Daphnia pulex: one gene and its partners. The protein of the gene in region 2 interacts with the protein of the main gene of each other region in a pairwise test. Links are inferred from orthologs where the notes say so. Each region holds a gene or a part of one and is shown on either strand. Other genes may lie near its edges.

Evidence for each region.
Region 1: the proteins of homeotic protein ultrabithorax-like (region 2) and T-box-containing protein TBX6L-like interact in a protein complementation assay, tested with the Drosophila melanogaster proteins (2 studies listed by BioGRID). The link is inferred for Daphnia pulex from reciprocal best matches to the Drosophila melanogaster genes Ubx and Doc2.
Region 3: the proteins of homeotic protein ultrabithorax-like (region 2) and 14-3-3 protein epsilon interact in a two-hybrid assay, tested with the Drosophila melanogaster proteins (2 studies listed by BioGRID). The link is inferred for Daphnia pulex from reciprocal best matches to the Drosophila melanogaster genes Ubx and 14-3-3epsilon.
Region 4: the proteins of homeotic protein ultrabithorax-like (region 2) and armadillo segment polarity protein-like interact in a two-hybrid assay, tested with the Drosophila melanogaster proteins (2 studies listed by BioGRID). The link is inferred for Daphnia pulex from reciprocal best matches to the Drosophila melanogaster genes Ubx and arm.
Region 5: the proteins of homeotic protein ultrabithorax-like (region 2) and 26S proteasome non-ATPase regulatory subunit 11-like interact in a two-hybrid assay, tested with the Drosophila melanogaster proteins (2 studies listed by BioGRID). The link is inferred for Daphnia pulex from reciprocal best matches to the Drosophila melanogaster genes Ubx and Rpn6.

What each region holds. Positions count from the first base shown.
Region 1 is NC_060017.1:3,031,733-3,035,642, forward strand, and holds T-box-containing protein TBX6L-like, read left to right. Parts: upstream 1-1,292; 5' UTR 1,293-1,508; coding exon 1,509-1,617; intron 1,618-1,719; coding exon 1,720-1,939; intron 1,940-2,014; coding exon 2,015-2,279; intron 2,280-2,358; coding exon 2,359-2,505; intron 2,506-2,574; coding exon 2,575-2,683; intron 2,684-2,755; coding exon 2,756-3,249; 3' UTR 3,250-3,410; downstream 3,411-3,910. Other genes in the region: hypoxia up-regulated protein 1-like, read right to left, coding at 3,676-3,723, 3,780-3,871.
Region 2 is NC_060024.1:12,334,411-12,339,948, forward strand, and holds the start of homeotic protein ultrabithorax-like, read left to right. Parts: upstream 1-2,027; 5' UTR 2,028-2,787; intron 2,788-5,538. UniProt on the Drosophila melanogaster protein: Sequence-specific transcription factor which is part of a developmental regulatory system that provides cells with specific positional identities on the anterior-posterior axis. Binds the consensus region 5'-TTAAT[GT][GA]-3'.
Region 3 is NC_060024.1:10,588,760-10,592,812, forward strand, and holds the start of 14-3-3 protein epsilon, read left to right. Parts: upstream 1-1,253; 5' UTR 1,254-1,420; coding exon 1,421-1,484; intron 1,485-3,144; coding exon 3,145-3,344; intron 3,345-3,405; coding exon 3,406-3,512; intron 3,513-3,838; coding exon 3,839-3,976; intron 3,977-4,030; coding exon 4,031-4,053. Other genes in the region: piwi-like protein Siwi, read left to right, coding at 66-182. UniProt on the Drosophila melanogaster protein: Positively regulates Ras-mediated pathways. Acts downstream or parallel to Raf, but upstream of nuclear factors in Ras signaling. Three mutants have been isolated, that suppress the rough eye phenotype caused by mutated Ras1 (sev-Ras1 v12).
Region 4 is NC_060020.1:4,722,842-4,727,137, reverse strand, and holds the start of armadillo segment polarity protein-like, read left to right. Parts: upstream 1-1,496; 5' UTR 1,497-1,653; intron 1,654-1,840; 5' UTR 1,841-1,878; coding exon 1,879-1,912; intron 1,913-1,978; coding exon 1,979-2,118; intron 2,119-2,180; coding exon 2,181-2,301; intron 2,302-2,365; coding exon 2,366-2,553; intron 2,554-2,613; coding exon 2,614-2,772; intron 2,773-2,857; coding exon 2,858-3,012; intron 3,013-3,098; coding exon 3,099-3,400; intron 3,401-3,460; coding exon 3,461-3,609; intron 3,610-3,693; coding exon 3,694-3,903; intron 3,904-3,966; coding exon 3,967-4,099; intron 4,100-4,160; coding exon 4,161-4,282; intron 4,283-4,296. Other genes in the region: cysteine desulfurase, mitochondrial-like, read left to right, coding at 52-247, 360-423. UniProt on the Drosophila melanogaster protein: Isoform neural may associate with CadN and participate in the transmission of developmental information. Can associate with alpha-catenin.
Region 5 is NC_060026.1:15,973,869-15,977,701, forward strand, and holds 26S proteasome non-ATPase regulatory subunit 11-like, read right to left. Parts: upstream 2,427-3,833; 5' UTR 2,307-2,426; coding exon 2,249-2,306; intron 2,187-2,248; coding exon 1,942-2,186; intron 1,857-1,941; coding exon 1,686-1,856; intron 1,623-1,685; coding exon 1,339-1,622; intron 1,266-1,338; coding exon 1,142-1,265; intron 1,082-1,141; coding exon 956-1,081; intron 892-955; coding exon 661-891; 3' UTR 501-660; downstream 1-500.

The DNA of each region.
Region 1 (3,910 bases), on a different chromosome or scaffold from region 2:
TCCATATAATTTTGGAGAGGGGGACTCTTGTCTGTATACGGTTCCGTGTCATTATTTGATGATTGCCGCCCACAGGCAAATGATTCCATCCATTCCGTTGTGTCGTCAACCCCCCACATTGGTTATGTCGCCGTTGTGTCGAGGGGCTGGAAACAAGACACGCCTGTAGGCTCAACCGCGGTCCGTCATCGTCGATTGTCGCGTGAAAGCGGTGGGATGGATGATGATTTCGGGGTTCCGTCTCTTTCTCTCTCTTATCATTTCGAGATTGTGTCTCTTTTTTTCTGGCTATATCATCTTGTTTTTTTTTTTGTTTTCAATTGAAAAACCCTGGCCAATTTTGCGGTAAACCTTGAAGCGTGACTGAGTGGATTATCTCTCATTTTCAACAAGGTAGGAGAAGAAGAAGAAGCTATATATAAGAAGATACAAGCTGGTGGACATGGCGCCAGCCGATCGGTTCCCATCGGACTTTTATTTTTTGTTTCTCTTCTTCTTTTTTTTCAAAAAGAAAAGGAACAACTCGCATGTTCTCGTTTCACTTTAAAGAAATAAAACCCTCGCCATTTACCAGGCAATTGACACTCGATATGCGAATCGAACAACAAAACAAAAACACAAACAAACTATGGGTTAATGAAAGCAAATGGATAGGTGGATGCGGTTTATCGCGCGCATCTAAAGCAAAAGCGGGCTGAGGCTGGCGGCGGCACTCGGATACACATGCCAGACGTATCCATGGCTGGATCAGCAGTTTGGCTGTGCATATAAAGAAAATGGGGTAAATAAGTGGGTGGACAAAAGAGGCCTGCGACATTGAAAGTACTACACATCCCATACATGTCTATAGTATTTTTTATTTTCAAAAATGGCACACGGAAAGAAAGATGGATAGTAGCAATCTCTCTCTCTCTATGTGGAAAGGCAGCAGCAGATGGTGATAATTAGATAAAAGATAAAAGATTGAAAGAAAAGAATTGAACGCAGAGACGACGACCGAATGAAGGAGGAGGAGGAGGGATCAAGGCATCAAGACTTGAATGGCCGAGAGATAATAAAAAGCGGATTGGGGGGTTCGGAAAATGGATGGAATGAATAAGAAAAGAGAAGAGGAAGGCCCGAAATTGGGGAGGCGACCAATGGCGAACCAGGGTCTCTCTCTCTCTTTGGCAGCCCACCCAAGGGCTATGGCCAGCACACAATTCCGGAGCCAGCGCGACGATCCGTCTCCACTCGTACGGACTTGCGAAAAAGCAACTGGGAAATAAAACATGATATCTATCGGGTCGTCTTCACTCTTCAGCATCAGTCGTTCAAGTATCTCAGTCCAGTGCGGTCGCGTTGTGTGTGCGTCTTCACTATTTGAAAAATAAGAATAACAACTTTTTGCTGGCCCATTATCAGTGTGTCCACTCCAAGACACTTAACAGAGTGTTGTGTGCTTGTGTTTTTGTGTGTGCACAGTTGATTGTGAGTTTAGAACCCAACAAGTACAAAGCCATTAAATCATGGATGCGGCTAAATTGGCATCGTCGGCCGTGAGTCGAGAAGATGAGCTTCAGCAATTGGCAATCCATGCGGCCGGAAATCGATTCCCAAATGAACGGAGACCTTACGGTATGTTTTCGTTTTGCATTTGGGTAGTGAAGAAGAAGAAATTGTTGGTGGGTTCGTTCGTTCAACTCTCCGTTTTTCTCTTTCTCCCTTTCGAAACAATAGAATTGCCACCGATTGGTAGCGCTGGATCACCGTATCAACTTCCTCCGTCGGCGGCAGCTCATCACAGTGCGTCGGCAGCTGCGATGATGGCCCATCGCCATTTGGCAGCCGCCGCTTCCGTCAAATCCGATCCCAACATCAAAATTGAATTGGAAAACGCCGAATTGTGGCAACAATTCCATCAGATCGGCACGGAAATGATCATCACAAAGTTGGGAAGGTGCGTGAATCAATCCATCAATCGGGCGAATTTGTTTCTCTAATCCAACTTTTGATTTCCTTTGAAAATAATCAGACGGATGTTTCCGACTTTGAAAGTCAACTTGAGCGGATTGGATCCCAACACGAAATACTTTGTCCTGTTGGATTTAGTCCTGGCTGATGATTCTCGATTCCGTTTCAACGCCGGATGGCTTCGTTCCGGCAAGGCAGAACCACAATGGCCGTCGAGGATTTACACCCACCCGGACAGTCCTGCCACCGGAGCTCAGTGGATGAAACACGAAATCTCATTCCAAAAAGTCAAATTGACCAACAACACCATGGATCAGCAAGGCCACGTAAGTTAATTGATCATTTCGTCACACATTAATTGCGACTCGGGTATTAACGGACAATTTTAATTTTTAACCTATACAGTTGGTTCTCACCTCGATGCACAAGTACGTTCCACGAATCCACGTCATCGCAGCTTCCGATTACGCAAGCCTCCATTGGGGAATGCCTACGACCATCAACACCGCGGCTTTCAACGTCTGCAGTTTCATCGCCGTCACCGCCTACGCTGTAAGTTCTAAATGTCGGAAAAATTCAATTACGAACGTATCAATAACGATTATTCTATTGGATTTCTAGAACGATCGAATGACGCAACTGAAAATCGATAATAACCCGTTCGCCAAGGGATTCCGTGAAAACGGCCAGCTTCGAGTGAAAAAGCGACAATTGAGAGACAGTTCACCTGGTAAGTCATTGATTCACCTGCTCGATTTCAAACGGAACCCGTTGTATTAAACTCGTGTCTTGATTCGTTTAGAAAACCGTAAAAAATCTCGACCGAGCAGCGCTTCAAGCTCTCATTCATCACTCAACATCACCGACGACGAATGCAATCCACCAACAGCGCCCGGAGTCCTCCAGGATCCTGTCACTCCGCCACCTTCGTTGACAGTTTCGTCGTCATCGCCCATCAAAGGTTCACCCACCAACTTTTCAATCGCTCGCCTAGTGGGAGAAACAACCAGCCCGGCACCCATCATTTTCCGACCTGAAATGCAACATCATCAGCCGTCATCCTTTCACCATCTTCATCCAGCCATCCATCCGTGGATGGCAAATCAGCATCACCACCATCTCAGTCCTTATTCTTCTGTGTTTGCTCCGAGGCTGACCGGATGGCCTCACCACTTGCCTTTGATTCCTATGATGCACTTTTCTTCCATGTTCCAGAATGGCCCTCATCACTTGATGATGGGAAGCCCTGGCTCGACCTCACTCACTGGAAATCCTAATGCGAACAAACTGTTTTAAAAATTCTCGCCTTATTTTCTTCGTTGTCCCTTTTTTATTTTCTTTCGTGTATTCCCTCTAGTCAAAAGGGGTATGCCGCATCACGTGCCTTCGCTCCGCACTCCCTGTTGATATAATTGTATTATTTTCACGTTGAATAATCAAACAAACACAAAACAAAAGTGTCGCAAATATCCCATATTCTATTAGCACAATGAAAAAGTGATTTTTTTTTCATTTCTCACTCTTTTAAAATTAATTGATTATTACACACACAAAATAAAAAAAAAATAAATACAAATCCAGCAAATTGAATTCATTTATTCATTAAGTAAGTCGAAACGGCTTCGGTGGAAACAAAAAAAAAAATTATTAATTTATTTATTTCGATGTAACGGGAGAATCGAATAAAACGTCGCCTACTTCTCATTTAGAGCACAGCAGCATCTATTTCTTATCGCCTTCAATCATTGCAATAACCTTGGCTCGAATACCCTATAAAATCGATAAGATAAATAAGAATTGTAAGCTCAATCGTTTGGTTTTCTAACCTCGGCAATTTTCGCAAAAGCTGGCTGAATTGTCATTAATTGCGACGGCAATGGACTTGAAGTTTCCGAACAACTCTTGGAAGCTGCAGCTTCTAAATATAAACAGATTCAATTAAAAATACGAACGCACT
Region 2 (5,538 bases):
AGAAAGAAGAAGAAGAAAAAAGGGAACCGTCGTAAAGATGATGATGATGACGCCATCGACCATACAAGAAGAAGAAGAGAAAAGAGCCAGCCAAAGTTACACACACACACACACACATCCAGCAGCAGCAGCGGGGGGCTTTTTTCTGTGTTGAAGTATCTCGTTCGGGATAGGATCGTTTCGTCGAGTCTTTATATACACACAGACACTTGCACGGTGCCTGCCCTCATCAAAATGACCCTAATAACTTGATTGAATTGCGCATAAACATCAAGTCGAATAGGCCATCAAAAGCCCTCGGAAAAAAAAGAACCATCTCTTCTCTTCTAGCAGTGGCTCAGACTATATCACGGCCGGCTCTCGACACACCATAGAAAACGCGTGTAACACACACACACACACACACACATTTTTTATTATTATGATGATGATTATTTTGTGTTTGTGTTTCCTTTTTTTTTCTTTTAGTTTTGGTTACACCGTCGCCGTCGTCGTGATTGCTGAATCACATCCGATGTGTTTTATAGACAAACAACACAACTCCTGCCGCTGTGAAAATGGCCCATTGCTGATATTGTTATTGCCCATTTGGTGGTTTTGTTATAGAAACGGACGTTTTATTTATTTTTTTTCTTTCTTTCAACTCACACAACAATCAAGAAGAACTTATCCATCAATCCAAACGGGCAATTCAACACAACAACGGCCTTCACACAGCATTGGTTGACAAATAACGGCAGCAGCTCATTCCTGTTCATCATTTCCCAACGAGAGAAAGACACGAAGCAGAGAGAAAAAAACAAAAATACAGCGATAGCAATTGTAACTTGTAATTGTCTTGAATTTTCTTTTGGCATGACAAGATGCAATTGTAAAAAAAAGAGAAAATACAAGGAGTCATAGATTACTTTCTATATTTATTATTTTGTTTTTCCTTCCCCCTCAAATTAAAGTTGCTGCACTGAAAAAAATCAAATAAAACATAACCAGTGCGGGTTATGTAGGCCTCCCAAAATGTTTCAACTCAAATTCTTAACTCTCTCTCCGGCTGTATTCGAAGGCCGAATCCAAGTTGTAAAAAAAAATAGGGGGGACGACACATCCAGCAGACTTTGTGTGTAAGCTTAATACTACGTGTCTTATATTTTAGGCCTAGAAAAGCGACAAGAGTTTGAAAAAAGGGGGGGCTGGATAGCGGATCCCCACCAATATAACCCCTTGTATAAAATCTACCAAGAGAGCGAGAGAGAGAGTGGTGGTGGTATATTCATATATTGGATTCCTATGGGCCTTCCCTTAAGAGTTATACAATCTCTCCTGTTATTGGGAAAGAAACCTTTTTTCTTTCTTGTGTATTGCGCTGGATATATATAACCCCAAAAAGAAGAGAAGGATGGAACATAAAAATTGAAGGCAAGAAGAAGAAGAAGAAGGAAAGAAAAGGGACAGTCTTGGCGGCGGATAACTGCTCTAAAACGTAACCCTTATCTCTTTTCTCTTGGGTCTCCCCCCGAAAAAACAACCATGGGTTGGGCGCAACCGGCACATACACACACACACATAGTGCGCATACACACACACACCATATAGGCCCTGGCCAATTTTTATTTGGGGTGGGCATCCTCCTCTTCCCAATAAAACGCGGAGAAGAGCAAAGAAGCCAAAGAGTCGTAAAAAATGCATATCCCTTCTTTGACTCTGTGTGTCCTTCGACCCTTTTATACACGTATATATACATCTATCCTATCCGTGTGGCTATGCAAGAGGTCCCCCCCGATATCACCCGTTTTTCTTCCGACGCAACACCCGACTGACCCCCCAATTCTTCGCAATATAACCGTCACAGACTCACACAGCCGAAGACGAGGGGGTAAAAACTTCTCTAGCTGGAAAGAGGGGGTTATAAAAAAAAGAACGGCTGTAACAATTTCCTTCGGAGTATAACCCCAATAACATCTCCAGCATCTTTGTATAACTTTCCCCACCAGAAGAAGAACTGGAAGAAGAAATAGAAAAAAGGACACGCCACATTCTTGAGCGACTCCTCCTTGATCGGCCGTGGCATGTCCTTCTCACAATCACATCAGTTCCGACTCTGAGGCTTGACCGATCACAATGTTTTGAGCAGCTCGATCACAGAGACATTGTCCTTCAAAAAAATCAAAGTCAAAACCCGATCGAAAAAAAGTTTCGTTGCCCATTCCGTCCATCTGATGGACTCGCAGACAGTGGAGCGCTGTCCGTCCAGCAGCGCTTGACGACACAGTAGTTAGTTAATAGCTAGTCTCAATATATAACCCAGTCAGTGAGTTGGTGATCGTTCAGGTGCAACTAGAAAAAACCCAACAAAAAACAACAACGTTGGACATCCGAAAATATTTCGTCGCAATCATTATCGGCATCCATCCATCCATCCGTCTGGCTCCCACAAGTGCGGACCTTGTTACCTTTTTTCGTGCGTGTGTTGTGTGAGTGTGTGTCTGTGTTTCGAGGCCTCCAGAAAAGAAAAAATTGTTGAGGTAGTCGAGAGAGAGAGAAAGAAAGAGAGAAAGAGGAGTCGAAAATTGCGAGTTTCCTGTCTGTTGGTTGAGCGGAAAGTGCCGGGCCGATGACGACGCCGAAGGACGGCCATTTCCACGCCCGACGCCAACGGATTACGCAAACCGCGACTACTCCCTCCTCCTGCTCCGCCGCCGTCTTCTTCTCTCTTTCTCCTTATTTTATCGCTTCATTTCCACAAGAGATTCGGCAAAAGAAAACGCAACTAAGAGCCGCAAAAAGTCCTGGGTGAGTTCACAGTTCTTTTTATCCTCCTTTTAAAAAATAATTTCCCGCGCTAGTCATACATTAGCGAATAACCTTATCGCCAAACTCCGAGCGATTGGCACCGACCAATAGATTGACTCTCAAAACAGCAGTTGGATCGTCGATTTCAACACAGTTACAAATTTTTCAAAAACATTTTTTGGGTGGTTTTTAAAAGTTAAAAGGGACTCGGCGGCGATGTTCAAGGAGCCTCCCAGGAGTTGTAGGCCTAACGCTAAAGGCGGCGGTTCAAATGGCTAATAAAAAACTTTTAAAAAGCACTTTGTGACGAATTGTGCCCAACTGTTTACCCCAAAACACATTACAGGCCTATCATTCTTCACCATTTTCTCTCTCTCGAAAAGTCAACTAACGATATACTATATATTTGTTGATTCAATTTGTTGGTATCGAGAATAACCGCTGAAACGCTTCGAAAGATCATTAGGAGCCCCCCTCACCGAAATAGGCCTAAAGGTCACCGTATAGGATATACTATCTAGTCTGCGCATACATGTAGCCTACTAAAAACCGACTTGGATAAATCATTCTTGGTAATAGCAGCAAGCCAGCACACGCGTATTGATGATTGTTTTACTTTTTATTTTATTTTTTCCCGGGGAATAACGAAGAAAACAAACTGCGGTCGATGTTTTTTTTTTGTTTTTGTTTTTTTCTCTTCTTCTTCCTCCGTTCGTGACTATTGGTGCGAGTTTTTTTTTTGGGAAGCCAGCGTCGGCATAACGAAGTATTTATCCCTTTTTATTTTTTTGCCCGTCTTTCCTTTCTTCTCCAACTTCTCTCCCAGTGACTTTCGGTTGGTGTCGACTCACGACGCCCAAATTACGTGTGTAGATTAGAGAAGAGACGACACACAAACAGACAAACACAGACACAGCGGCGCGCAAAGTCAAGCCAAGTATGCCGCGTGAATGTTATATAGGACCGGACGGGGTGGAGCGGCGGCCGCAAGAGAAGAAGAAAAAAACCAAACCAAACAAAAATGACTCCAGTAGAGTGAAAAGAGAGCGCCCAGCAACGTCGACGGCTATACTAAAACCTACACTTCTCTATACGCATAAGAAATATCAGTAATATGTAATTTAGTCAGAGCTGCTGCTGCTGCTGCTGGCTGCCCAATTTCTTGCCGTCTTTACGCACAAGTCGCGTTTCGTAACAACATTACACAACGGCGGCGGCGGCGGTTCCATTTCCCACACACGGCCCCAACAGTCCGTGTTTTCTTTTTCCTTCTCATTTAAATGACCAAATAAATAAATACATGTTGACTGAAATGTATATCCACATCGCGATGTGCATATATACTCGAGTAGTATACATACAGCCAGAGAAATATGCGTGTTAATGCTTCCAGTATATACATACGTACGTATATATACTACATATACTCAGAGCGTACGAATATAATCATGATAATTATCTGGGCGTCGTCGACTTCTTCTTCTTCAGTTCGGTGGCTTCGACGTGGTGGTGTTTGTCTACTCTACGACATCTAATACAGAAATCTTATAGCTACTGCCTAGCCAGCCCATAACTACACATGTGTACAGTTGGGATATATACTTGCTAGTGGCCTACTATTTCTACCATTTCCGCCGAAGCTCGCTAGCTCTCAATGACTGCACTGTTTATTCTTCTTCTTCTTGTATAGTTCCTCACATCCGGCGCGTGAGGTCGGGAGGGGGGATATGCTATCTGGAAAATGTTATACATAACGTCAAACTGAAATCATAATAATCATAATCATAATAATAATAGGCCGTATACTAAATACATAAAATATAATGAATTGCGGGGGCCGTGATCAGGGCTGCGTGAAGCTGCCGGGACACGCGGAAAATAGAAAAGAAAAAAAAACAAGAGTCCCATAGCTATGGGAGCCGAGTAGAAGGCAGAAGACGAGAGTTCCGTTCCGCAGATATAACTACGGATGGTTTCCTTGTCTCCATAAATATTTCCCAAGTCGAAAGAAACAGAGGAAGGAGTCGGAAGAGAAAGAAGAAGAAGAGCTAGGGCGATCTATCGGATGCTGCTGGCAGCAAATCAAGAAGACGACGGCGACGACGTACAGTAGTAGTGTAGTAGCACTTTGGATGACTGCCATAACACAAAGTGAAATACTTTTGTAGACATCACCGTAGGCTCAAACTGGGAAAATCTATATTTATTCAAGGATTCACATCATTTTGTTTTAAAAAAAAAAAAGAAAAGTCATGAGACAAAAATTTACAAGATTTGGACAGGAAAAAAACAAAAGTGCCGGGCGCTATATGGAAAGGTTATTCGTTTTAAGGTTGTGACCCCCTTCGAAAAAATAAAAGGTGGTCATCGATATAAACTATCTTGGATAGAGGGGATACCTTGTAACTCTAATTTCAAATTGTTTTACTAGCTATCGGCTTTTGTTTTTTTTATGGCCTCCCTTCGATTGAACCGAGAAGTTGCGTCTGATTGTGTCCTGAGCGAGAGTCGGTGAGGTACTCTCATGAGCGCCAAAGGACTCAAGGACGAAAGAGATTGTCAAAAAAGGGAAAAAATCCTTCATCCTCGAGTCTGGGACACAAACACAGGTCTGCTGCCTATTCATTTATTTATAAGCTCGCTCAGATTCTAGAGTGCGCATAATAGTCTAATATACAAAGTTATACTGCTATCAGAGAAGTAGGATACCTATAGGCCTATTTTCGATCCTCCCTTTCCAGAACACCCTTG
Region 3 (4,053 bases), about 1.7 Mb from region 2:
TAAGTTTTTTTATTTTTATTGTCTATTTTATTCAGAATTGAATTTAACCAATTTGTTCATTTAAGGGTACCCTGCGTATTCCAGCGCCCATCCAGTATGCGCACAAGTTGGCGTACCTTGTTGGTGAATCAATGATGACGCAACCGCATGAAGGACTGAATCGACTTCCTTATTACCTTTGAATTACCTTTCATTTATTTTCTCCCTAAGTTTTGTCATTTTTAACGTATTAATTTGTTCACTCATAAGAAAAAAACTAAAAGACGACGAGACATGCCTCACTCGCACGATTTTCGAATGACGCCAAAAATATTTTTCTTGAGTTTGTTTGCAATGGCGGATATCGACAATGGAAGTGTTTTTCATGCAATTTTTTTTTCTGTTTCACCTTCATGGGCCATGTCAGAAGTGTGATAATGAACGCCCCTTTGTGCCATGTTGTATGTAATCAAGGAATGAGTAATAAACCTTTGTTTTTAAATGAAGTAGATTTATTGACTTTCGTGTGGTGAGTTTTTATATGATGAAATAAACATGAGTTGCAATGGAATTCGCGTTGAGATGGCATTGACGGAAAAGCTCTACGTGTGCAATGCACATAGCACATTAGGTGTTTCGAAAGCACTGAGGAAAACAAAAGAATGTGGCATCGCTGCTTGGCAGGCGTGGTCAAGCTGACAGCTGTATCGAGAAGAATGCAGGCCTGCAAGGCCAACAAGGGTACGTCTGGGCAGGATCGTCTGGGCTTCCTCGATAGTCAACTTTCAGGTCCGCAAAAGCCAAAAGAACTCGCAAGTCATTGAATTGCTAATTGTCCACTAGAGACACCATGCGGCTGTCTCTTTTGTAACCAAGGGATCTCAATCGTCCCACAGCGAACTAAATCGTTTATAAAAATTATTTCAATACTATAAAATGACTTGATTTCATAACTTGAAGCTTTTTAAAAACACGATAAAATAATATTTACGTAACAAAATAGATGGTTGCTAGACATCCAATAATGAATTCACAAAAAGTATGCATAGAATCAAATGATTAGAATGAACATGTCATTACTCGGATAATAGAAAATTTGAATAAAAGTTTTATTTCATAAGAATTAATTAAATACCTAAAAGATTAGACAGCCCCCAAAGGTGTTTGGCCTTGTATAGATGTCAGCACTGTACGCTGCTAGATGCATAGGTAATAAGAAACGAGATCTGGCAATCTGGCCTCTTCCCATCCCATCGACTCTCGCTGGCATTTTCCGCTTTAGCTACAGGGCAAAGCATTCTAGCAAGCGTACGGTGGAGTCTCAGTTGCTAGCTACACTCTTTGGTCTTAGTCGAGACAATTCGAGGCAGGTTCCGATTCCAACGGTCTCGCTTTTGTTTCTTTATCCAGTGACATCTGCTTATAGTTTATTCCAGCAGCCATGGCAGACAGAGAGGATAACGTTTACAAGGCAAAACTCGCCGAACAAGCCGAAAGATACGATGGTACGTAAATGTCATTTAAATGTAAAATCGAAAAAAAGAATGAAGTTTCATTTCCTCTGTGTCTCTATGACTGTGCATCTCTGTGGGTAAAACCGAACGAGACGGTAGGCGGCTTTGAAAAAAGGCTTGGGCGTTTGACAGACTTATGACGTTTTGACTTTTTGTCTTTTTTCTTGTACATTCGGTTGTGTAATGGGGAAATTCAGCGGCGTCCCCCCTCTTAGTGTTGGCTTGAATACTTTCGATCAATATGACACTCGTACTTGAGGTTCATTTTTCCTGACAATTCCATTTTATCAAGTATAGTATAATCTCAGCCATGTTTTCTAGAATCTCTTTTGAGGGTTTTTGTCGCAGTACGAAATAAAAAAAAAGTAATTCTGGGTGTGTGTCCGGTGTGTGTGTGTATCTCTGGGTGGTTTTCCTCGAAACCTACCGCTACGTAACGAGATGACTTGGATCAATGAGTCATGAGAGAGAGAGAGAGAGAGCAGAGACTTTGGACTGTCTCTTTGTATACTTGCTTTCCAATAACTTTTTTATTCTCTTTTTCGTGAAAAATACGTAGTCGTTTCTATTCAACTTGGGCCTCTCACCATTGCGCATCACCAAGGCGACGGATCTCTTCAAAACGACGCTCGGTAGAGTACCCCACCCTTATGTGCGTGATGCGTTGGGGGTCCTGGCTACGTTGATGAAAACGTGCCGTCTAAAAAAGCTTCTCTCTCTCTCTCTCTCTCGAGGACATCAAAAAGGAAACCGTTCACACAACAATGGCCGCCTGTGATGGTTAATTTTCTCTTCTATATTTTTCTCTCGACTCTTCTGTCTGCGGCTTACAAAAACCAAGAATCGGTCAAGCTCTGACAGTGGGCGGAGAAACCCGATGGAAAATTAGCCACCATTTTTATTTTTCGTCTTTTTCCTTTAGGAAAATATTCCAACTGGTATGAATGGGGCGTTTTTCTATTTCCACATATTTTCGAAAAAATAGTTGTCGCACGTGACGCGTCTCGTGCCTTTTGTCGTTGTAGAAAAAAAAAATTAGTTTTTATATTTTTAACTTTATTCCCCCCCCCCCCCTTCACGTTTCAATGATGGAGGGAAGTTGGAAAGAAGAGAAAATGCGGTGTGGGTGTGTCGCCCTAGAACCTGTCATTACGCCACTGCGATGTGAATCCAAGTGGAGAGCCTGTCCGTGCATACAACTCGATCGTCTGGTTATTATTATTTCCCTGAATTCAAACATGTACGCCCAGCTGGAGAAACTTTTATTTTTCAATTCCTCCCTTAGAAAAAAAGAGGACACACATAGTTTTGTGTGTGTGTGCGTAACGTCAACTCGGTTTGCCCCTGTACTTTTCCTTCCTTCCGCCGTGGGGATGCTGATGTTGGGGGTTATATGACGACTGCGACGTGCTGGATGTGTGGAGAGCGGGCGGAACTAGGCGGTAGCGTGTTTCCTCCCGTGGCCGTTATTGATCCGCTACTTGAAAAGTCGCTCGAGTGTGGGGGGTGGGGTAGACAGGGAGATGGGGGGGAAAGAAGGCAAAGCCTTTATGTCTGAAAGTGTATCTATCTTTTTCTGTCCAAAAGAGAAAGGGATCCTCTGACAAGTTTCTTTGGCTAAGACTATATGATAATCTGTTTGTTGATGCAGAAATGGTCGAGTCCATGAAAAAGGTGGCGTCGATGGACGTCGAGTTGACTGTCGAGGAGCGGAATCTGCTGAGCGTGGCTTACAAAAATGTGATCGGCGCTCGTCGTGCATCTTGGCGCATCATCTCGTCCATTGAACAGAAAGAGGAGAACAAGGGAGCCGAAGATAAACTTGAACTCATCCGCAATTACCGCAATCAGGTATGGATAATGTATTCAAATTTTATTCATTGATTTGTGCCTTTATCTGTTTTGTCTATAGGTCGAGAAAGAGCTGAAGGACATTTGCTCTGATATTTTGAGCGTCCTCGAGAAGCATCTCATCCCATCAGCCACCACTGGAGAATCTAAAGTCTTTTACTACAAAATGTAAATCGATTTTTGCTTGGCCTTTTTTTTTTCAATCTTGCGAGTAGTAGTTGGACATTCCTATTAAATGCACCGGTGGATTTCTCTCAAAGTCCTTGAGACTCGAGCGTCTGTGATTTCGAATTCTACTCGTGTTTCGCTTTGAGAGAAAAGAAAAAGTGTCGTTACTATCTCTACCAAACGTGTACACAATTTTATCGTACGTAAACGTTGCGCCAAGCGCAACTTTGTGTGCGCGCAGACATGTTGTGGATGGATGGCCTGGTATTGATTATTGACGATTTTACACAACTCCCTTCCTCTGCTTTTGTCGTTGTGTTATACAGGAAGGGTGATTACCATCGGTATTTGGCCGAATTTGCGACAGGAAATGACCGAAAGGAAGCTGCAGAGAACTCGTTGATGGCTTACAAAGCCGCCTCCGACATTGCCATGACGGAATTACCCCCCACCCATCCCATCAGGTAACTTAACTAACAATTTGTTGCCGATCCTCAACTTAACTTTATCATTTGTAGATTGGGATTGGCCTTGAACTTTT
Region 4 (4,296 bases), on a different chromosome or scaffold from region 2:
GGCAACTTCCACTACCTTTCTTTTTAACTATATTTGTTTTTATTACATAAGACGTGGCACTATCAAGCGGAAGTGCTTGCACCTCAGCATCGCTGGAACCTTCATATGTTTTGCGGGCCATTGGCGCTGAAGAAGATTTGGCGCATTCTTCTATTCGATTTGGAATTGGGCGATTCACCACCGAAGCTGAGGTTGATTACACCGCACAAAAGTGTATTCATCAAGTCACCAAACTTCGGGAAATGAGGTAAATACCGAATTCGAAGAAGTCGAACCGTAACCCGGGTCTGGAATTCCCCGACAAATAACTTCCTTCATTTCTGCTAAAAATGTTAATTATGTTTTTTCTCCACTTTTAGTCCTCTTTGGGAAATGGTCCAAGAAGGGATTGATTTGAAAAGTATCAAATGGACGCAGCACTAATCTTTCCATTCAAAAACAAAACTGAAAATGTTGCTGTATAAATTCAGCCTTGTAAAGAAAATGATTTGGAAATATACACTGAAAATAGTGTTGACCAATAACCTTTAATATCTTTTAAGACGATTGTTGCAGAAAATGGTATCGTAAAGTTACAAGTTACTTTGGACTCTTTAACAGTAAAATGAGCCGGGAAATTTATTAGCTATCGGTACCATTGCGGTGCAATAATAAGTCAATATAAAGTATCGAAGGACTAGATCTAGAATAGATTAAAAAAAAAAAAAAACGGCACATCCTGCAGAGAAATTTGACAGCCTTAATATGTCCGTTTTTTGTTCAATAAACGAGTTGATATTTTTGACAATGCCAAACGACTAAGTTTCCGTCGAAGCTCTTTGGGTTAAAAAAGTTTGAAGTCGTTCCTAGCACACAAAAAAGCAGGTGTGCATGGTAACGAAGACTTTTGATTCCTTTCACACTCTTTGTATGTGATTTATGGGGCACTTTTACTTGACATTATACTTGAAGTCATTACATGAATTTCATTTAAAGTTTGGAAAAGGTGAAGAAGTTAATGTAATCTTAAGCGAGCAAGCGAACTTTTGTTTTTTTCATTGCTGCATATCGGGAAAAAAGTACAAAAACCGAAATTTCATATTGCGGCGATTTATTCTTTAGCCAATCGACAGCAATCCACGGCTCCCTACCCCTGAAATGCCAACCTATTTATTACATAGCTGTATCTAGGTAATTAAAAAAGGAAGAGGTTAAAAACCTGCTTGAGAAGCAATGCACTTTTTTTTATCATTTGTTCAATGGTATTTGTGAGTCATTCCGAACTTGAAACTTTTTTTTATTCCCCTCCCACTCTTTCCGTCTGGACAAACGGGCAGGGGAAACTAGCTATGTATTCCTACGCTAGAAATTTTAAAAAATATTCTAAAATATTATTGGACTTTCCCACAAATATTTGTTTTATTATTTTTTTTTGTTTTGGAATAAAACACATTAAATACGTAATTTCAAGCTATATTTAAATGTTTTTGGTTTTATTGGTTTACCATAGAAAAACAGAAAACGCCAAAAAAATAGTTCCGTTTCAAGCTGATGGCCGCCATCTTTAAGGGCTTTTTAGACGCGTCAGTACTTCAGAACGAAGCAGGTCCTTGTTTTCTGATTGTGGCAGGTGTGGCTCTGTTAATCTCTTGTCACCAAATCGAAATTCCAAAGGTATGTGACCTTAAATTGTTTAAAATTACACTTAAAATGTTTTTCGAAAGCAAACAACAATTTTCTCGACTTTTGAATGGCTTTTTACTGTGTCGAAATCTCAAGTGACAGTCAAACACGCAGTTTACTTCATCATAGTTGCGACACTTTGTTAGCCCTGGTTCTTACCCTCGTTTCTTTATTTAAGGTTATCTCGTCGCAAAGTCGTCGATACACAGCCGCATCATGAGTTATCAGATGCAGGCACAAGGGAGGCCAAGTATGAGCTTTTTTAAATTAAAATTTTTCATTAAATCTATTATAACTCTTTAATTTGTATGTATAGTGTCACATGGGCAATATGTTAGCAATAGCCCTGCTGATCTTCCTATGCCCAGCGTTAAGGAACATACATTGATGTGGCAAGGAGTTGGGCAACCTGGATATGTAGGAGATTCAGGAATCCAAAGTGGGGCAACCACTCAGGTAAATATTGAGTGAATTGTGCGAGTGAAGGTAACCTTTCGAACTAAATGTTTACTTCTTAGGCCCCATCACTCTCTGGAAGAGGTGGTGATGATGATATGGATACTTCTGAAGGAGGAGTCATGCTTAACATGGGTGGATCAAGTGGCTATTCAGCTGGTTATACTCAAGACCAAGTTGAAGGTAAACAATAAAATATTTTTGATTCTTATTGCGGTATATGTTTTAATCAAATACTTTGTTACAGACATGAATGCTCAGTTAAACCAGACTCGCTCCCAGCGTATTCGTGCTGCCATGTTTCCAGAGACACTGGATGAAGGAATGGAAATTCCATCTACTCAGTTTGATACCACACAGCCAACTGCTGTTCAGCGTTTAGCCGAACCGTCGCAAATGTTGAAACATGCCGTTGTTAATTTGATCAACTATCAGGTATTATTGCTGAAATTCAAAATTTTGAACTGCTTAAAGTAATAATATTTGGGTTGGTAGGATGATGCTGATCTAGCTACAAGAGCTATTCCCGAACTGATCAAGTTGTTGAACGATGAAGATCAAGTTGTCGTATCTCATGCTGCCATGATGGTTCACCAGTTGTCCAAGAAGGAAGCGTCCCGCCATGCTATCATGAATAGCCCACAGGCAACCAAAGTTTCTATGATTTTATTATTACTCTGTGTTACACTTCTTTTAAAATTATTTTCCAAGTTCATAATGCATATCCGTTTGATCGTAGATGATTGCGGCTCTCGTTCGAGCACTGTCCAATAGCAATGACCTGGAAACAACCAAAGGTGCCGTTGGTACCCTGCACAACCTATCACATCACCGCCAAGGATTGTTGGCTATTTTTAAATCTGGGGGAATTCCAGCTTTGGTGAAGCTGTTGAGGTATTGTCCCGTCTCATCCTTCATGTGTCCGAACTGACGGCTTTCTTCAAACGTTACTTATTTTTATTTTTTGTCATCTCGAAAAGCTCGCCCGTGGAATCCGTTCTTTTTTATGCTATCACGACGCTGCACAACTTGCTGCTCCATCAAGAAGGCTCAAAAATGGCCGTTCGTTTGGCGGGTGGTTTACAGAAGATGGTTGCTCTCCTTCAGCGCAACAATGTCAAATTCTTGGCAATCGTTACTGATTGTCTTCAAATTCTGGCGTATGGCAATCAAGAATCCAAGTTGATCATTTTAGCTTCACAGGGGCCGATGGAACTTGTTCGAATTCTTCGGTCATATACTTACGAAAAGCTGCTGTGGACCACTTCACGAGTTTTGAAAGGTAATTTATAAAAACCGTAATGTTTAATGTACGTGATTTATTTATAAATTTTTTTCCCAGTGCTGTCGGTCTGTTCTAGCAACAAACCAGCTATTGTTGAAGCTGGAGGTATGCAAGCGTTGGCAATGCACTTGGGCCACCAAAGTCATCGCCTAGTTCAGAACTGTTTATGGACCTGCCGCAATCTTTCCGATGCTGCGACCAAGCAGGTGATTATCTTCTAAAAGAAAAATTATTTTATGTTCTGCTCCTATCTTAAGGACAATGCTTATACCTTTATTTTTCTCTTACAGCAAGAAGGTTTAGAAACCCTGCTTCAAGGACTTGTTCAGTTGTTAGGTTCTAGTGATGTTAACGTAATCACTTGCGCTGCCGGAATTCTCTCTAACTTGACTTGCAACAACCAACGCAACAAGACTGTTGTGTGTCAAGTCGGTGGTATCGAAGCGCTGGTTCGCACCATTATTCATGCTGGCGATCGTGAAGAAATCACCGAACCTGCCGTAATATATCCATCTTTTTAAAATGACAAACGTGTTGGTTCTTACAAAATCCATTAATTACAGATATGTGCTCTGCGTCACATGACATCACGTCACGCTGAAGCTGAAATGGCTCAAAATGCTGTTCGTCTTAGTGGTGGACTGCCCGTCATTGTCCGTTTATTGCAACCCCCCTCTCGTTGGCCACTCATCAAGGGTATGTATCATTATAGCAAGTTTGTCTTTTAAAATGTCTCATAATTACCATTTTTGTTTAGCTCTGATCGGGTTGGTTCGTAATCTGGCTTTATGCCCTGCTAACCACGCTCCGCTGCGAGAACAAGGAGTTATTACTCGTTTGGTGCAGCTGTTGATCCGTGCTTTCCAAGACATCCAACGAGTACGTTTGTTTTA
Region 5 (3,833 bases), on a different chromosome or scaffold from region 2:
ACGTCCATATCGTAGCGTGATGAACATTGATAACAAAATTGACCAAATAATATTTACAACAACCTTCGCGACAGTTGTTTTTCTCCCCCCGTTTTGCAATATGTTTCTAGGAAATCGCAATTGTGACAATTTGATATTTAATTTAGTCGACACACATCCTTCCATTAGAATTTGTGGGGACGTAAAATAATTTGTTTGTTGCATTTGAAAGCGTTACCCACCACTGATTTATCTTTGAAAGCCAATAGTTATATACGACTAATTAATATTATACTTGTACAGTGATACATTCCCCCACACACACACACATTTGTGACATATCTATTCGAGCAATAATGAATTAATTGCGATTTTTTTTTAGTCGGAAATGTAGATCAAATATTGTTTTAATTAGTATCAGCATAATGATGCCATGTTGTGTGATGAATTTTCCCCATTAACAGTGCCTGTTTTGTTGGTTTAAAGTAAGAGAACAAATTTGAATAAAATGTAATCTTAACTTAATGTAGGAAAAAGAATTATTTTTATTTTCTCTTGGTAGTCCCAAGTCCCAATTCGAGGTTTGATGTTTTACTGGAACATACAAGTGATGGAAATAATATTTAAAAATTACCTCCCCGACACTTTTATCTGATGATTCTCGCAGATTATGTATACAAGTTATGTCAGTTTCTTGGCTTTCTGATACAATGTGTCCACCACTTTGCCGAGGTTCTGGATTGTGTCTAACGCCGCCTCGTAAGTGGAGTCGGTGTGGGTAGGCTCGAAGATGATCAAAACACCATCACCCTGATCGAGAATGCCAGACAGCTTGCGATCCAAAATCATCTGCGACAGCTTCTTTTCCACTTGATCAACCGGCAGGGCAATAATTCGGGCGACGTGTGATACCTTTAAAATTCAATGTGGATTTATACATTTAAAAAACTAACGCTTTATTGAATGAATTAAATACCTGGACACGAGAATAAGGCTCGATGATTCGACATAAATTCTGCTCCAACATGGTATCGTAAAGCGACTCCAAATGTGCCTTGATGATGGGGTCTTCTACTAATTCGGCGCGATAGTCTTCCAGGGCCTGAAATCATTATATTTTATGTTAAACTAGAACCATTTATTGCTAAAAGTTTGAACATACCTGTTGAAACTGGGCTAGCGATCGCTTAATTGCTGATTGTGCAATGGCTTTCAAGGCTTCGGCTTCCCGACCGGCATAACGCAAGGCTAATTTTCCACTCAGAATATTCTGCACATCATCTGGCCTATTAATAAAATGGAAGAAATGGAAAGATAATTAAAAATTTCTTGAATTTGAATTGATCACCAATTACTCACGTGTTCAAAATGATTTTTGACAGAAGCATGTACTTAAGACCCGTAACAGCCCTTGGGGAATCGATGCTGTCATAACCCTCAAAAGCTTCGTAAAAGTAAGAGTAGGCTGTTTTGAAATCACGTTCATCGGCAGCATGTAGAATTCCAGATTGGAGGTCTAGTGCAGCTTGAAGTTTTGGAGGGCAATAGATAGCATTTGCTGTGGTCCTAGCAGAAGTTAATGCAGCACGGGATTTGGGCAAATTGCAGAGGGCATGGTAGGTTTTCGATTCCAATAGCTGAACCTGAAGAAATCAATCAAACAACTGGATGAGTAAGGGAAAATAAAATAAAATTTATCACCCTACTTCAACAAGGAGATACTTGTCATCCAGTTTCTTCAACTCTTTCAGTAAAGTTGCCCCTAATAGTAATGCTTCATTATACTGTTTGGTGTCGAAGTAGAGGGCAATCAACCTGGCTTCTAAACTCTGACGAAGGAATGTTCCCTTCTGTTCAACAGCCCAGTTAATGCATTCCTACAATTGAAAATGAAATAAGAGAATAAGATTTGGTTAGAAAACTATTGAATCCCAGATCTGACAATGATTTGTTCATATTTACTTTGCAGAGCTGGACTTCAGTTCCTGTTTGGGCTTCCATGTCAAGGAAGAGATCAACAAGACCACGAACAAGTTTGGCAGCTTTCGCTTTGCTGATCATGGCAAGAAAAGGTCTGACATCTCGGATTAGTTGAGCCAATTCTGCAGCCTTTTTCTCTTTCTTGTATTTTTCTCCCAATTCCATGATCTCCAACTCTTTATTGCGGATGGCTTCTTCATCGTTGATGTCTCCACTTTCCATCGGATCTAAACATGTATAAAATTCAGCATGATAATTCGGTATTACAGTCTGCATTGATCAAACTTACCGATGGCAATATTCTCGAAAACTTCTCGAGTCGTAGCCATTGTTTGCAAAACTGCCATTGCAATTGTCAATTGATAACGAGACAAACAAGTCTAGAAATGACAATGACGAGCCAAAAACTCCTGAGAACCGGCGACTGGTTCGAAGGTTGAAATGAACAGCATCCAAATTTCATTTGCAAGTTGTTTCCAACTATTACTAGATGTCGTTGTAGTATGTGGAGAACCTCCTTTTTTAAAATACGCAATTAGCGGCATTGTTTTTCTTTGTATAACGAAGTTCAACAGGTTTTTTTTCATAAAATAGTTTCTCATATTTCCCCAAGAGTATTATTGGTTTGGGACTTTGGTCGGTTTCTGAGCAGACTATACAGAATGTGAGTATGAAGAAAATTGTGACGATGGGGGGCGTCGAATACCTTTGGAAACGACACTTGAAAGAAATTAGACGCTTACTGGAAGGAGCGTTCATTCCCCTGAAGAAAAGACCATTTTGAGTAGTGAAAGCGTTATTTATAGGAACCCCCATTGGTGAAGACGATGAAAAAAAGTGATTACGATTGCAAAGAGAACTCTGACGATGGGCGGTAATGTTCATGTTTCAAGTCCATCAAAAGGGAAACGTAGTGGGATCCTTGGAAAAATCTAAAACTATTTTAAGGTTTCATGGGCCGGTAAATAATTTGGCGTGCGAATGAACAGATGCGTGGACAAAAGGACCATACAGGTGGATGACGACCAGAATGGGAATATGTAATTAGGGATGGCGGGAAAATGAGCGATGCATTTATCAAAAGTGAAGGGACAATTTTTTAGAAAAAAAATTTTTCTTTAGCTTTTATCTCCTGGAAATGTTTCGCCTGGAAAGTGTTAGATTCACTGGTGCCAGCGAACTCACCCGGAGACAGTCACGAAAAATTCAAAAAATGGATGCCATCGCTGCGTTATGAACCGCTGGACATTTTTGCTAAACGCTGTAGTAAATCACGTGCGATGTTTTACCTTCATATTTAAAGTCGTCTACTCATATCCTAGTTTCTTTCGAAAATAAACGTGCTGAAATTACAGCACGCTTCAAACCTGGTGGTCATTCTTTAATGACTGAAGAACAATCGTGTCTTTCTACATTTGAAATTGCCAGTAGTCGCAATTAGCATGAACCGTGCATAATAGCGAAAGTGGTACAATTTGACGAGAATTATTGCACATCTCGCTCATTTTTCTTATTGTTTGCTTGTGATGGCATAGCGGTCAAACGCCACATTACCAACAAAAAAATTTATACCAAATACGGTAAAAATACAGCATAATGATGATCCGTAGCCAAATTTGCCAAGTTCAATGACAAGAAACGTTCCCCCACGAAGAACCTCGAATCGTCTAATTCTCCGTGAAAATACGGAAATGTTTGAACTTGGCTTTGCTAAAAGAATGCCATTGTTGCGACACAAACAAACACCGATATAATCGGTTGGAATAGACAAAAACGAAAATGCCAGCGGATATTCTTTTAGTTACCGCTGAATAAGTTTCGCGTCATCCTCGTAACTCACGCATCTAAGAATGCCCCAGGGATGTGCACCTCCT